3 linked regions of the Coturnix japonica genome follow. The protein of the gene in region 3 interacts with the protein of the main gene of each other region in a biochemical or structural test. Links are inferred from orthologs where the notes say so. Each region holds a gene or a part of one and is shown on either strand. Other genes may lie near its edges. The genes, in order: AKAP1, CDK1 and PRKAR2A.

The links.
Region 1: the proteins of PRKAR2A (region 3) and AKAP1 form a complex in vitro, tested with the Homo sapiens proteins (2 studies listed by BioGRID, with this or other methods). The link is inferred for Coturnix japonica from reciprocal best matches to the Homo sapiens genes PRKAR2A and AKAP1.
Region 2: the proteins of PRKAR2A (region 3) and CDK1 form a complex in vitro, tested with the Homo sapiens proteins (2 studies listed by BioGRID, with this or other methods). The link is inferred for Coturnix japonica from reciprocal best matches to the Homo sapiens genes PRKAR2A and CDK1.

What each region holds. Positions count from the first base shown.
Region 1 is NC_029534.1:7,711,396-7,714,976, reverse strand, and holds the end of AKAP1 (A-kinase anchor protein 1, mitochondrial), read left to right. Parts: intron 1-237; coding exon 238-311; intron 312-1,097; coding exon 1,098-1,163; intron 1,164-1,278; coding exon 1,279-1,341; 3' UTR 1,342-2,935; downstream 2,936-3,581.
Region 2 is NC_029521.1:6,516,372-6,520,121, forward strand, and holds the start of CDK1 (cyclin-dependent kinase 1), read left to right. Parts: upstream 1-1,141; 5' UTR 1,142-1,315; intron 1,316-1,554; exon of another isoform or gene 1,555-1,610; intron 1,611-1,765; 5' UTR 1,766-1,779; coding exon 1,780-1,816; intron 1,817-2,593; coding exon 2,594-2,750; intron 2,751-3,750. UniProt on the Homo sapiens protein: Plays a key role in the control of the eukaryotic cell cycle by modulating the centrosome cycle as well as mitotic onset; promotes G2-M transition via association with multiple interphase cyclins.
Region 3 is NC_029527.1:9,279,270-9,282,919, forward strand, and holds part of PRKAR2A (cAMP-dependent protein kinase type II-alpha regulatory subunit), read left to right. Parts: intron 1-448; coding exon 449-532; intron 533-3,512; coding exon 3,513-3,619; intron 3,620-3,650. UniProt on the Homo sapiens protein: Regulatory subunit of the cAMP-dependent protein kinases involved in cAMP signaling in cells. Type II regulatory chains mediate membrane association by binding to anchoring proteins, including the MAP2 kinase.

The sequences.
Region 1 (3,581 bases), on a different chromosome or scaffold from region 3:
TAGCTAGTGGCTTTGAAAAGCAGTTCATCCTCTCCCTTCAGCAACACAGCAGGCATAATACTTGTGATCTCCTGCTTAATAGACTGGTTTCAGCAAATGCCTGCAGCAGCAATAGGTGAGGATTCTCTCTGGCCTAACTTATGTGGGAGGTCAGACAATATTAGATTAATGGTACCTTCTGGACTTTAAAGCCTGTGAATATCTCACTTGTTTTCTCCTGTTCTTTTCTTTCCAAAGATGAGGATCACTTTTCATCAGAAGCTGATGCTGCTGTTAGTGAGATGACCAGAGGGGCAGCACTGCTGGCGCAGGTACATGAGAGCTGTCTGGAAAAGACTTGCTGATGATTTTACTGCTACTGTTATCCTCTCTAACCCTAGTATAGTGTGTGTGTGTGTGTTAATCAGAAAGTCTAGAACCTGTAAGCCTGGCTGCCGGGCAAGATTCTTTTTGAGAAGCCTAAGCTCCTGAGAACAGGCTTGTGTAGCAACCTTGTATAGCATCACCACTGCACGGGACTGTGTGCCTCTAAGAGCTGTGCAAAGAAAGGGGCAAGAATCCCTTTTGTCAGCTGATGCAGACGATGAGGATGGATACATAAATGGGCTTATGGAGCCAAAGCGGACTGTTCAGGTGAAGCACTGTGCTGCCCTGCCAGCCTGGAGTGTTCCTGCCACAGAAAGATGTGGCCTGTGGCTGGTTAGTGGAAGAAGGGATTCTAATGGAGCTCAAAGGCTTCTGTGCATGGTGCTAGGTCTTACTGAAGGGGACTTTACCTCTTTTGAAGTGCTTCTCATAGTGGCTGTAACTATCAGTGTAAATTAATTGAAATGAGATGAGTGGGAAGCCTGATAGTGTTTGTGATAGCTTTATAGCTTCCTTTGGCTTAACACAGTGCCCAAAGGCATAAGTAATTCTGGCCAGGGCAGAGATTTGAGCAAATAAAGTAAACTTGCCAGCACTATCTGAGCTGTGTGGTGGCAGCAGCTGATTCCCCTGATCTAGCATGTGAGTTGAGGAACTGAGTACCATGCAGTGAATTACACCAGCTCTGCACCTATAATGAATGAGACCAAATTGCTGTTTTCTGTTTCCAGGTCACGAATTATGACAGTGCAACAGGTCTGCCACTGATACAGCTGTGGAGTATGATGGGAGATGAGGTATGCTGCCATGCTGTTGTTTAACATGTTTCAGTTCTGATTCATCACAGTGCTGATTTGGAACGTGGCCTTTCTTGTTAGTGGTTTTTTCATTCTTTTTTTCCTCTTTCTTCAGGTGGTGTCAATAAACAGAACTCTTGTGGAAAGAGGATTTGCTCAGTGGGTTGACAACTACTAGTGGTGTCCTGGATGCCTCGACAACATTTTCCTAACAGGGAAAAAAAAAAATAATCCTGTTTTGCACTGTTACAATTCGGTTTGGCAACCTCTTACGGAAGATCTGTTTACACCTGCCTGCAGAGTTTTGTGGTCCATTGAAAACTGTTTTGCTCAACTGTTACCATTTCACTAGAAACACATACCTCATCTCAGTGAAAGGCAGGGTGTTAAAAGCCATAATGAGAGATACTGTAGCTTTAAGGCAAAAAATTCTCCCTGGCCTCTACTTAAAAGGCAAAAGCCTTTCAAATCCTGGGGCTTGCTTGAAGCTACCAAATGCCCCTGGAATGTTGGCTGTGGCTACATTTGAGTTGGAGATGTGTAGTGCCCATGAAGTTGGTGTCTGCTTTTCCTGGAAGTTACAGTTGCTGTCCTTTTTATTCTTTAAGCAGGCTCTGCCTGTGCAGTTAATGAATGTTATTCAGGAATTTAATGTTCAGTTACGGAGTTTTCTATATGGTGCCACTAACGTGCATAAATTGCGTTCATCTTTTATCTTCTTGATGCCAGGAGGTTGATGAGCTGCATTTGTTGCACATACTGTGACACGTCTCACTGCGATCGTGCTTTTTATGCTTGATAAGCTTAAGGAAGAAGCGCTTGAAGAGCAGGATACATTACCACTACAATTTTGCTCTGAAATATTATGTATTTAAAGAAAAGAACCGATTGCCAAGCCTAATTGTAATTTGTATTTTTTCTAGCTGTGCAAGTCTGTAAATATATATTAAAAACATTGTAATATTTTGTACAAGAAAAACACTGGAAACAAAGGGAACTTTACAGAAACTTTTTCACACCAAAATGTCCTTTGTAGGTAGAACTGGTTTGGAGTGCATTAGGGTAGCCGATGTATTTGGAGCATCTGGAGATGGGAGTGTTTCTGCTGTACTGTCCACAGGATTAGCATTCCCGTAGGTTGCTGTCTGGTTTGAGCTGTGATCACTGCATTCTTTGCTATGTTTCTGTACAGACCTGTTTAAAAAAGAGAAAAAAGAAAGAAGTACCCATTTGACATTCGTGTGGCAGTGGTTTTCTCTCTCACTGTTGTTTTTCGGTTTTTGGTTTTGTTTGGTTTTTGTTTCTTTTTTTCTCCTTTTTAGATTTATTTGTATCACAAACTGAAAACATTTGTTTTTTGCCCCAGTAATTGAAGCTGACTTAATACTCTTAAGCACATGCCCTCTAATGTTTATCACTTTAGATATGTATTGAGTTGGGATTTATTGCTGGTGGAGAAGATACTTGCCAGGCAAATTATGTAGTCAGGGCCTCCCAGGTTTTTTCAGGTGGATTCAGGGGTGTCTTTACATCCAATGAGCCCATGTGTCCCTATGTCATGCATTTGGATAACTGCCTACAAAAGTATTTGGTCCAGTCCCTTCTGATATGGTATGATTATCCTTTCTTGAATTTTCTACTATTTAATGTTCGTATTTGCAATAATTTCCAATGAAAACTAAATTTGGTAATCAGTTAAATCTATAATACATATATCCTTTTGGAATGTTTCTTCCCATTTCAATTAAAGTTCAAATTTTAAGCCATCTTAATCAAACTGTGATGACTAAGAGCCTTCATTTCTAGACCTCTTGGGATGTAGAGTTGGAAGAGAGCTCAGTGGGATAAGCAGGTGAGGTGCAGCCCCAATGGCTTTTCAGCAGGTACATAAAGGTCAAGCTTCAAATCTCCTGGTTTTGGGTTTGGTTTTTTTTTTCCATTTCAAATTCTGTGAAAGAGCTGAAAACTGGCCATAACCTTGTGATGAATTGCCTATTAGAAAGCCTTTGTTGGAGCAGCAGTACTCAGTTGTATACATGGTGCAGTGAATTTACCCTGTGGATCTGGGAAGCTGCTTGATCCCACGTGTGTGTTGAAAGCTCTCAAAACTTGGGAGTCATCCTGTTGTGCAGAGACAAAGCTTCTTTAAAATGCTGACAAGTTCATTATTGGAGCCAAGCAGAGCAATGATGTGAATCGTGAGTAGTTTATCCATACCTGGTACCAGAGCACCCTGCAATTGGTCAGGTATTTTTTGGCAGCAGCTGTATCTGCTTTCTGAAAGGAAGAGAAATGAAGGCACTGACTGCACTGACTCCTAGGGGGTAGCACAAAACAGTGTTAAACTTGAGGGTATTGCCTTTGTGAGCGCATACATATCTGTGGACTATATAATTGTTCAAGGATATCAGTCTTCCT
Region 2 (3,750 bases), on a different chromosome or scaffold from region 3:
AGAACTAGATTTCTTTACTGTTTGCCTTCATGTTTGTCCTCAGTTTTGCATCTGATTTCACGTTTTGCTTTAAATGGGAGCAGGAATCCAATGGAATCTGTACTGCTCTGTCCATTGAGGGCTCAGTGGTGAGCAGACCACCCGCTGCTATTGCTTCACACAGAGAACTACGTCTCTTCAAACACAAAAGCAAATACAAATGTATCAGCTGCACGCGCACCTGTGTCAAGCAGCACTGTTAGCTATTGCTGGGTCTGCAACAATAATAATGCTGATGCTGCTAGTTAAAAAATTAATTTGGGTTAAGTCTGGAATTTCCTACACTTAAATTTGAAGTGAAAGCTCAATTTTGGCCACCTTCCTATAGTTTGTGGACAAGAGCCAGTCAGTGGCAGTGGTTCTGACCTGTGCTGGTTGCACAGTGCAGCCCCCAAAGCTATTGAGCACACACGGGCTGGCTGTGCTGGCCATGCGGTCAGGCCTGAGGGATGTGTCACTAACACTTTGCTTCAGCTGTGCAGCCAGTCTGTGCGCTGCTGAGCCTGGGCTGTGCTGGATTCATTACACAGGAGAGAGCTTCTCTGTGTGTGTACAAAGCACGTCGGATTCACTACCTACAAACTGTGCTGGATTTGAGGCTGTGCTCCTGCCCAGGGCTTCCCAAAGCGATGCAACAGCTTTGTTCTATGCAGGGAATCTCAGCAAGTGCTGGGAGTGCAAACAAAAACCGAAGGGCACGTGTGGTGCCTGTTTCTCAGGAGCAATAATTCCCCTTGAGGGAGGGCAAAGCGGAGGGTTTATGTTGCTGAAACTGATGTATGCCCAGGGAGGTTGTGGATGCCCCGTCCTTGGAGGTGTTCAAGACCAGGTTGGACAGGGCCCTGGGCAACCTGATCTAGTAAATGTGTGTTTGGTGGCCCTGCCAGGCAGGGGGTTGGAACTACATGATCCTTGAGGTCCCTTCCAACCCGGGTCATTCTGTGATCTGTGATTCTGTATGCTGGAGGGGGACACCTCCACACCAGCAGGTGGCGCTGTGGTGCGGGACGTGCCGCTCTCTCTCTTCTTCCTGGCGCCTTTCCGTGTCGCTTTGGCGCCGCCGGATCGTAGCGCTCCGATTGGTCGCTTTGAATCATCCCGGCGCTGCTCCATTGGTGGGTGGTGGCGGCAGCGCTGAGCGGCGGGTTCGAATCCTCGTCGCCCGCCCCCGGCTGAGCACTGAGCGCCCGCAGCGCGGAGCTGGTGGCGGCGCCGGGCCCGGTTGGCCGTGGTACCGCTACGGGAGCGAGGGGCGCCGGCTTTGAGCGGCCTAGTTGTGAGTGCGGCCGTATCGGCGCATAGGGGGGAGGGTGCAGGCGCTTGGGCCCTTATGGCCGCCCGCACGGTCGGGATGGGGGCTGGGTGCTGGTAGCGGGGTCCGTCCGCTCGGGCCTTCACGGGGAGGGACGGAGCGCCGGGCCCTGGGCTATGGGGGGGCGTTGGGGGCTGCGGGCGGTGCGGGGCTGCCGGCCTCGTGCGCTGCCTGCGGGCGGTTTCCAGGCCGAGGCAGGTTGCCGTTAACGTACGACTGGGAAAGCTCCCAGCTGGGGCCACGTTTCCCTCTTGATTCGGTGTGTATTTGTATGTAGGGATGGCGGGCTTTTTTAGCTGTGTCCCCTAATAAACGCTTCTTCCCTCCTTCCCCCCCCTTTTGAATCATCAAGCTTTTGGGGCTTTGTTTGCATTCAAGGAGCGCCTGTTGAATCTCACGGCTTTTTTGTTGCAGGTGTGCCCACAGCCATGGAGGATTACACCAAGATAGAGAAGATTGGGGAGGGTAAGTAAGCTTGCCTGGAGCTTTGCGAGGTTCTGCAGCTTGGGCTGCCAGCTGTTGTAAGCATTGTGACCTCCTGCTATCCGGAGAACTACTGGCATTCTATGGAGTCTTATATAGATGTAAATGCACTCAGGCTGCCTTTCTTCTGAAGGTGACAGTGTCTGAAACAGCTGCTCTGTGCTGGGAGCCATCTCCCTTCACACTGATGGCCAGTGGTGCACCGTGCCACTGCAGGGCAAAAGCGTTCTGAGTCAGGAAGTCGGCTTTCCTGTTTGGGAAGCTGGAACACATCTATTCTTTTGCAACTGCCCTTCCTTACAAGTTGCTCCTGAAATTGCACTTTGGGTGGCTGTGCTTTTGTTTGGAGCCCCTGGTAGGGAAAAAGTGCTACACAGGTGTTTTTACTGGGGTTCTGTGCTGTTGCTGCTCCCGTCACAGGGTGATACCATGAACCCGTGTGCAGAAGCGCATTTAAAACTATTATGTTGGTTTACTGTAAGGCACCTTAATGTAAAAGAAGGCCCGTGCAGATGTTTGTCACAACCTCCCTTTCACTGGGAGCCCTTCCTTTATCAAAAGTAGAAGTTGGTTCAAATAGTTATTTTTTTCTTTGAGATTTACCACTAGTTCCGATTATATTTTCCGCTGAGGCCCATAGTACTTTTAGCACTACTTTGTCATAAGGATTCTTGCCTATGTAGCAGTTCTTATTTGCAATGACTTATCTGCACCTGAAACCAGTATTTCCTATATGCGTTTCCCTGTTTGTTTGTTCAGGTACCTATGGTGTTGTGTATAAAGGGCGCCACAAAACTACAGGCCAAGTGGTTGCAATGAAGAAAATACGTCTAGAAAGTGAGGAGGAAGGTGTTCCAAGTACTGCTATCCGAGAAATATCTTTATTAAAAGAGCTGCGTCATCCCAATATAGTCTGGTAGGCATACGCTGGTATTTAGCCGTACTCTCTGAAAGGCACCAGGTCTCTTCAGATAAATTATTTTTCCACTGTTCTGGGAAGGAGGCAGTTATTCTGTGTAGTTGCTGCAAAGCAGACGTATTACACTTTAGTCCCAAATCTGGAGAGCAAACTGGTTTTTAATTAAGACTGTCTTCTGCTGCACCTATTCTAAGAATTAAAGAAAAGTATTTCTGTTAATTATTCAGAGTGGTTATTGGAGGAATGGAGACAGTGTGCTTCTGGGAAACTGTTTAAGTCAGCCTCAGAACTTTTTGTTATCGTGGGCTTATTCGTCTGACTTCAGTGTTCTTGGTGTGGGCCTTTGTCACCATGCACTTCCTTACTGTCCCATGGCAGAGCTGTCGGCGCTGCACTATAATGCTTACAGCTGGCACTTCTGATCTGCACCTGAAACTTCCATCAGTGGCTGCCTGATGTGAAGAACTGGTTGTAGTCAATGTCTTCTGTACAAAATACTTGCGCTTTAATGTAGTAAAATACTTTGGATTTAATGTGGCCTGAAATTGGCCAAGGTTCATCCAGGTGGTGTCCCAGTGGATGAATGCATGTATTTAAAAGCCTTTATAATCTATTAAGGATGAAGGAGATGCTTAAAAACCCATACAACTCCTGCTGCATCTAGGAGGTACCTATTCTAATGCAGAGCCCTTAAAGTCTTCCAATGATTCTGCTATAGTAAACCAGATTCAGATGGAAGTTAGGTACTGATACCTTCTTCAGCCTTCCCCTGCCTCATGCTAGGCACAAGGAAACACAAGATTCAGAGGAACCATACAAGGTGTTTGTCTCATATATGTTCAGTTTTCCAAACAACAGTGCAGTTAATCTTTGAAGACTGAGAGAAAGCTTTGTAAGCCTTTCTTATTAGGAACCTAGAAACATCAGCTTGTGTCCCTGTTGAGAAGGGAAACAAGCCAGCGGGTCTGCGTACTTTGCAGTGGAGTTGACTGTACCC
Region 3 (3,650 bases):
ATTAGGTGATCAGAGACACGTCTCATATGGGTTGTAAGTTCTCTGAATTGCCAACAGTGAAGGTGTTGGAACTAATATAGGCAGAGTTCAGGAAGGAAACTTGACTTTTTCATCTGGGTTCCCCAGCCTTGACTGTATCTGTGGCTGGGTTAGAAGGGAAGGAAAAAAAAAAAAAGGCATCCTTTTCTTTTTTGTCTCTCTTTACTGTTGTTTTGCATGTGTTAATTGTCAGAATAATATATTTCTTATGGGTTTTTCTTTTATTTTCTTTTGCCTCGCATTATGTGTTTGTATGTAAATACTGCTTGTGCAGACAGTAAAAAGGAGCTGTAAACAACGATACCTGACATTGTATTTGTGTTTTTGTTCTGAAGTGAAGGTTTAATTTGCGATAATATTTCTTTGCTGTTGTGACAGTTCATTTATTTATTTTCACTTTGTTTTAAAGATAGTTCATCCAAAAACCGATGAACAGCGATGCAGACTGCAGGAGGCGTGCAAAGATATCCTGCTCTTCAAAAATCTAGATCAGGTAATATTAATTTAAAGAAATCCAAACATGAATTATTGCTGTTCAGTAGTTTGATCTAACAGTCCAGACACTGTTTTTACATTGTGATCGTTCATGAATTTTTAATTACATGCAGACTGGCTTGGGGCATGTGTTTAGAGGTTGCCATCAATGAACAGTACAGATAAGCAGGTCAGACTGACAGTTACCATCACTGCCTACATTTGCTTCATTTTAGATTGCTCACTTTTTTATGATCTGCAGTGTGTCAGTAACATTTCTGTAAGTGAATGTAAAAGTCATGGTTTGGGATTGTCCATGTTCCTGCTCATCTTACAGACTTATTGCTGAAGTTAATTGCTCTTTGCTTCAGTTCAGGAATGGACCTTTGGGGTTCATCACATCCAGCCTCTGAAAAACCATAGAATAATTTATATCTGTTTTTGTTTCTATCTGTATGGAACTGATATTTCCAATACAGATTGAATAAATTTTGGTATCATATATCAGAAATAATGAAAGCTGTAACACCAGCAATGGTACCTACAGCTTCATGGTTTGAATCAGAGCTTTTCCTGAGGAATGGAAGTATGTACTTCATGGCTTCAGAAGTACTGCTCAGCTTCCCTTGGAAATTAGGAATTTCTCCCAGTTCTTGGCTGCTGTAAACAATGAAACATGTTTAAGAATATTCAGCTCCATTAGTATGTACAAAATGCAATCACCATTCAGACTGATGAGGCTGATCTCTTGGCTCCCAGCAAAACAACCCAGTGATTAATAACCAGTTCATATTTAAAGATAACTTCAAAAAAACAAATTTGAACCTAGAAAATGGGATTAGAAAAATACTGCTTCCCAAGGAAAGCTTTCTAAGCAACTGGGAAGAGAAGCAGTGGAAATAATCATAACTGCAGCTGTTAAAGACTCAAGCTTTAAGATAGCATGTGGTGAAAAAGATGACTGCATTGCGTACGTTAATTATAGTGTGACAAAGGGCACTTAGCAGAGAGGGAAGAGCTTTTCTAGTACTGGGTATAAGTGGGATATGAGACTCGCATTTTTTTGCTGCTCATCCTGATGATTTCTTTTCAACATCCTCTGTATAGTTGTAAAACATGACTCATTTACAAGGTTGGCCACACAGAACCTACTGAATTGTGAAATGCACGATAGCTGCTTTTGCTCATTGTTTAATGTCCTTTAATAATTATGAGGAACACTTCCAAATGAAGGCCCCAAGTCTGTTCTTTTGCTTCTAAACTTCCAAAGAGTGTGATGTAAAACTTTAAAAAATGAAACAGCAAAAAAAAACCCAAAAAAACACAAAACAAAAACCAACAAAACATGTAAAACCCCTCTAGGGTTAAATGTGTAGATGTAACTTGAATGTCTTGGCCAAATTCATTCCTTTTCTGCTGGTTGCATGTTGGTGGACTGTGTTGAATTTAGGTCCAGAGACTCAACTACTGTGTTAAATATCTTGTGTGTTAAATACTCTTGTGTGAGTAGCTGTTGTAATACTTGATATGAAATACAAAGGAGCCAGTGTCCATTGGATAATTTGTGGCAAGATTCACATTGAGTTTTGGACTAATATCAGAGTTTAACTGTGTGATAATATAGATAGAAGTTATGGTCATGTCCAGTGACATATCTGATGTATTTTTCAACCTAAAGTGCAGGGAGTGTAGAAAACTGGCTGTTAAAAGCTTGGAATGAAATACCATGTATTTGCTCCACAATATCTTATAAATGAATTTGTAGAATTTGAGCTGTGACTGAAATGTTCATGGTGAGAGCAACTATTGTTATTCTTAGCAGAAAAATCCCTGAGCATCCTTAGTACTTGTCTTTAAACAACAAAGCCTTACAGTTCAGGAGTCTGACAGAGCATAGTCCCTTATTAACAGAAGAACTCTCTGTTGCATTTCTTTAATCTAAGTCTTTGCCTGCTTATTCTCCAAATAAAACACAGCTGAGTTCCTGTGTTTTTAGAAAGTATTTTTTTTTAGGATTTTTAATTGTTTTTTGACAAATTATTCGAACAAACTGCTTTCAGGCAGTAATTCCTAGTTTAGTTTAAGTACCAGGAGAGTTTTTAAAAATGTGATAATAAAATTCAATGAAAAGCAGGAATATAGTTGATATAGAGCCAGAGCCATCCAGAGCCAAGCCTAGATGGCCTGTGTTTGCAAGAGTGCTAGAAGCAGTATCTTGTATGGTTGGTGCTGCCTGGCTGTGGGCTTTGACTTTCACAACTTCCTTGTCTGTGCTGCCTACAAGAGTTTAGTCACAGCTCACAAGAGAAACCCAGTTTGCCTGGTTTTTAGGTATGCATATAATGAAACTTATGTATTGCTGATAGAAATCAGTGAGTGTCCATTGCAGTGAAGGTGTGAAAGGTTTTGAAGGAGACAGACTCTTTACCAGGGTCTGTTGTAACAGGACAAGGGGAAATGGTTTCAAACTGAAACAGGAGATGTAGATTGGATATAAAGGGAAAAGTTCTTTATGGTAAGGCAGTGAGGCACTGGCACAGGCTGCCTAGAGAAGTGGTGGTGCCCCAGCACTGCAGACAGCCAAGGTCAGGCGTGATGTGCTCTGAGCACCTGATGGAGCTGTGGGTGTCCCTGGTCATTACAGGAGGGTTGGACTGATGGCCTTTAGGGTCCTTTCTGTCTCAAATGATTCTGTGGTTCTATGATTATCCCAGGTGAGATCTTGGTACATGCAGTGTGCTTTGGCATTGCCGTAGTGTGCATTAAGCATACATATTTGAGGTGATGGCTCTTCTGTAGTGGAAGTATCTTTTTGTATTCATTATTGGACTTAGACTGATAAGCTTTAAACAAAGTGAGATACTTCACAGTTAAAATCAAAATTTGTTATTGAAATTACTTTCATTTGCGTACAGTAAAAATAGTGCAGTGTGATGTATGTTGCAGTTCACTGTCCAGGTCAAGTCCAGGTCAAGTTTTTCTCCTCATTTGTTTTATAGGAGCAGCTTTCTCAAGTCCTTGATGCCATGTTTGAGAGGAAGGTGAAACCTCATGAACATGTGATTGATCAAGGGGATGATGGAGACAACTTCTACGTCATTGAGCAGTAAGCAGCTGTGCCTTTGAAATACAAAATA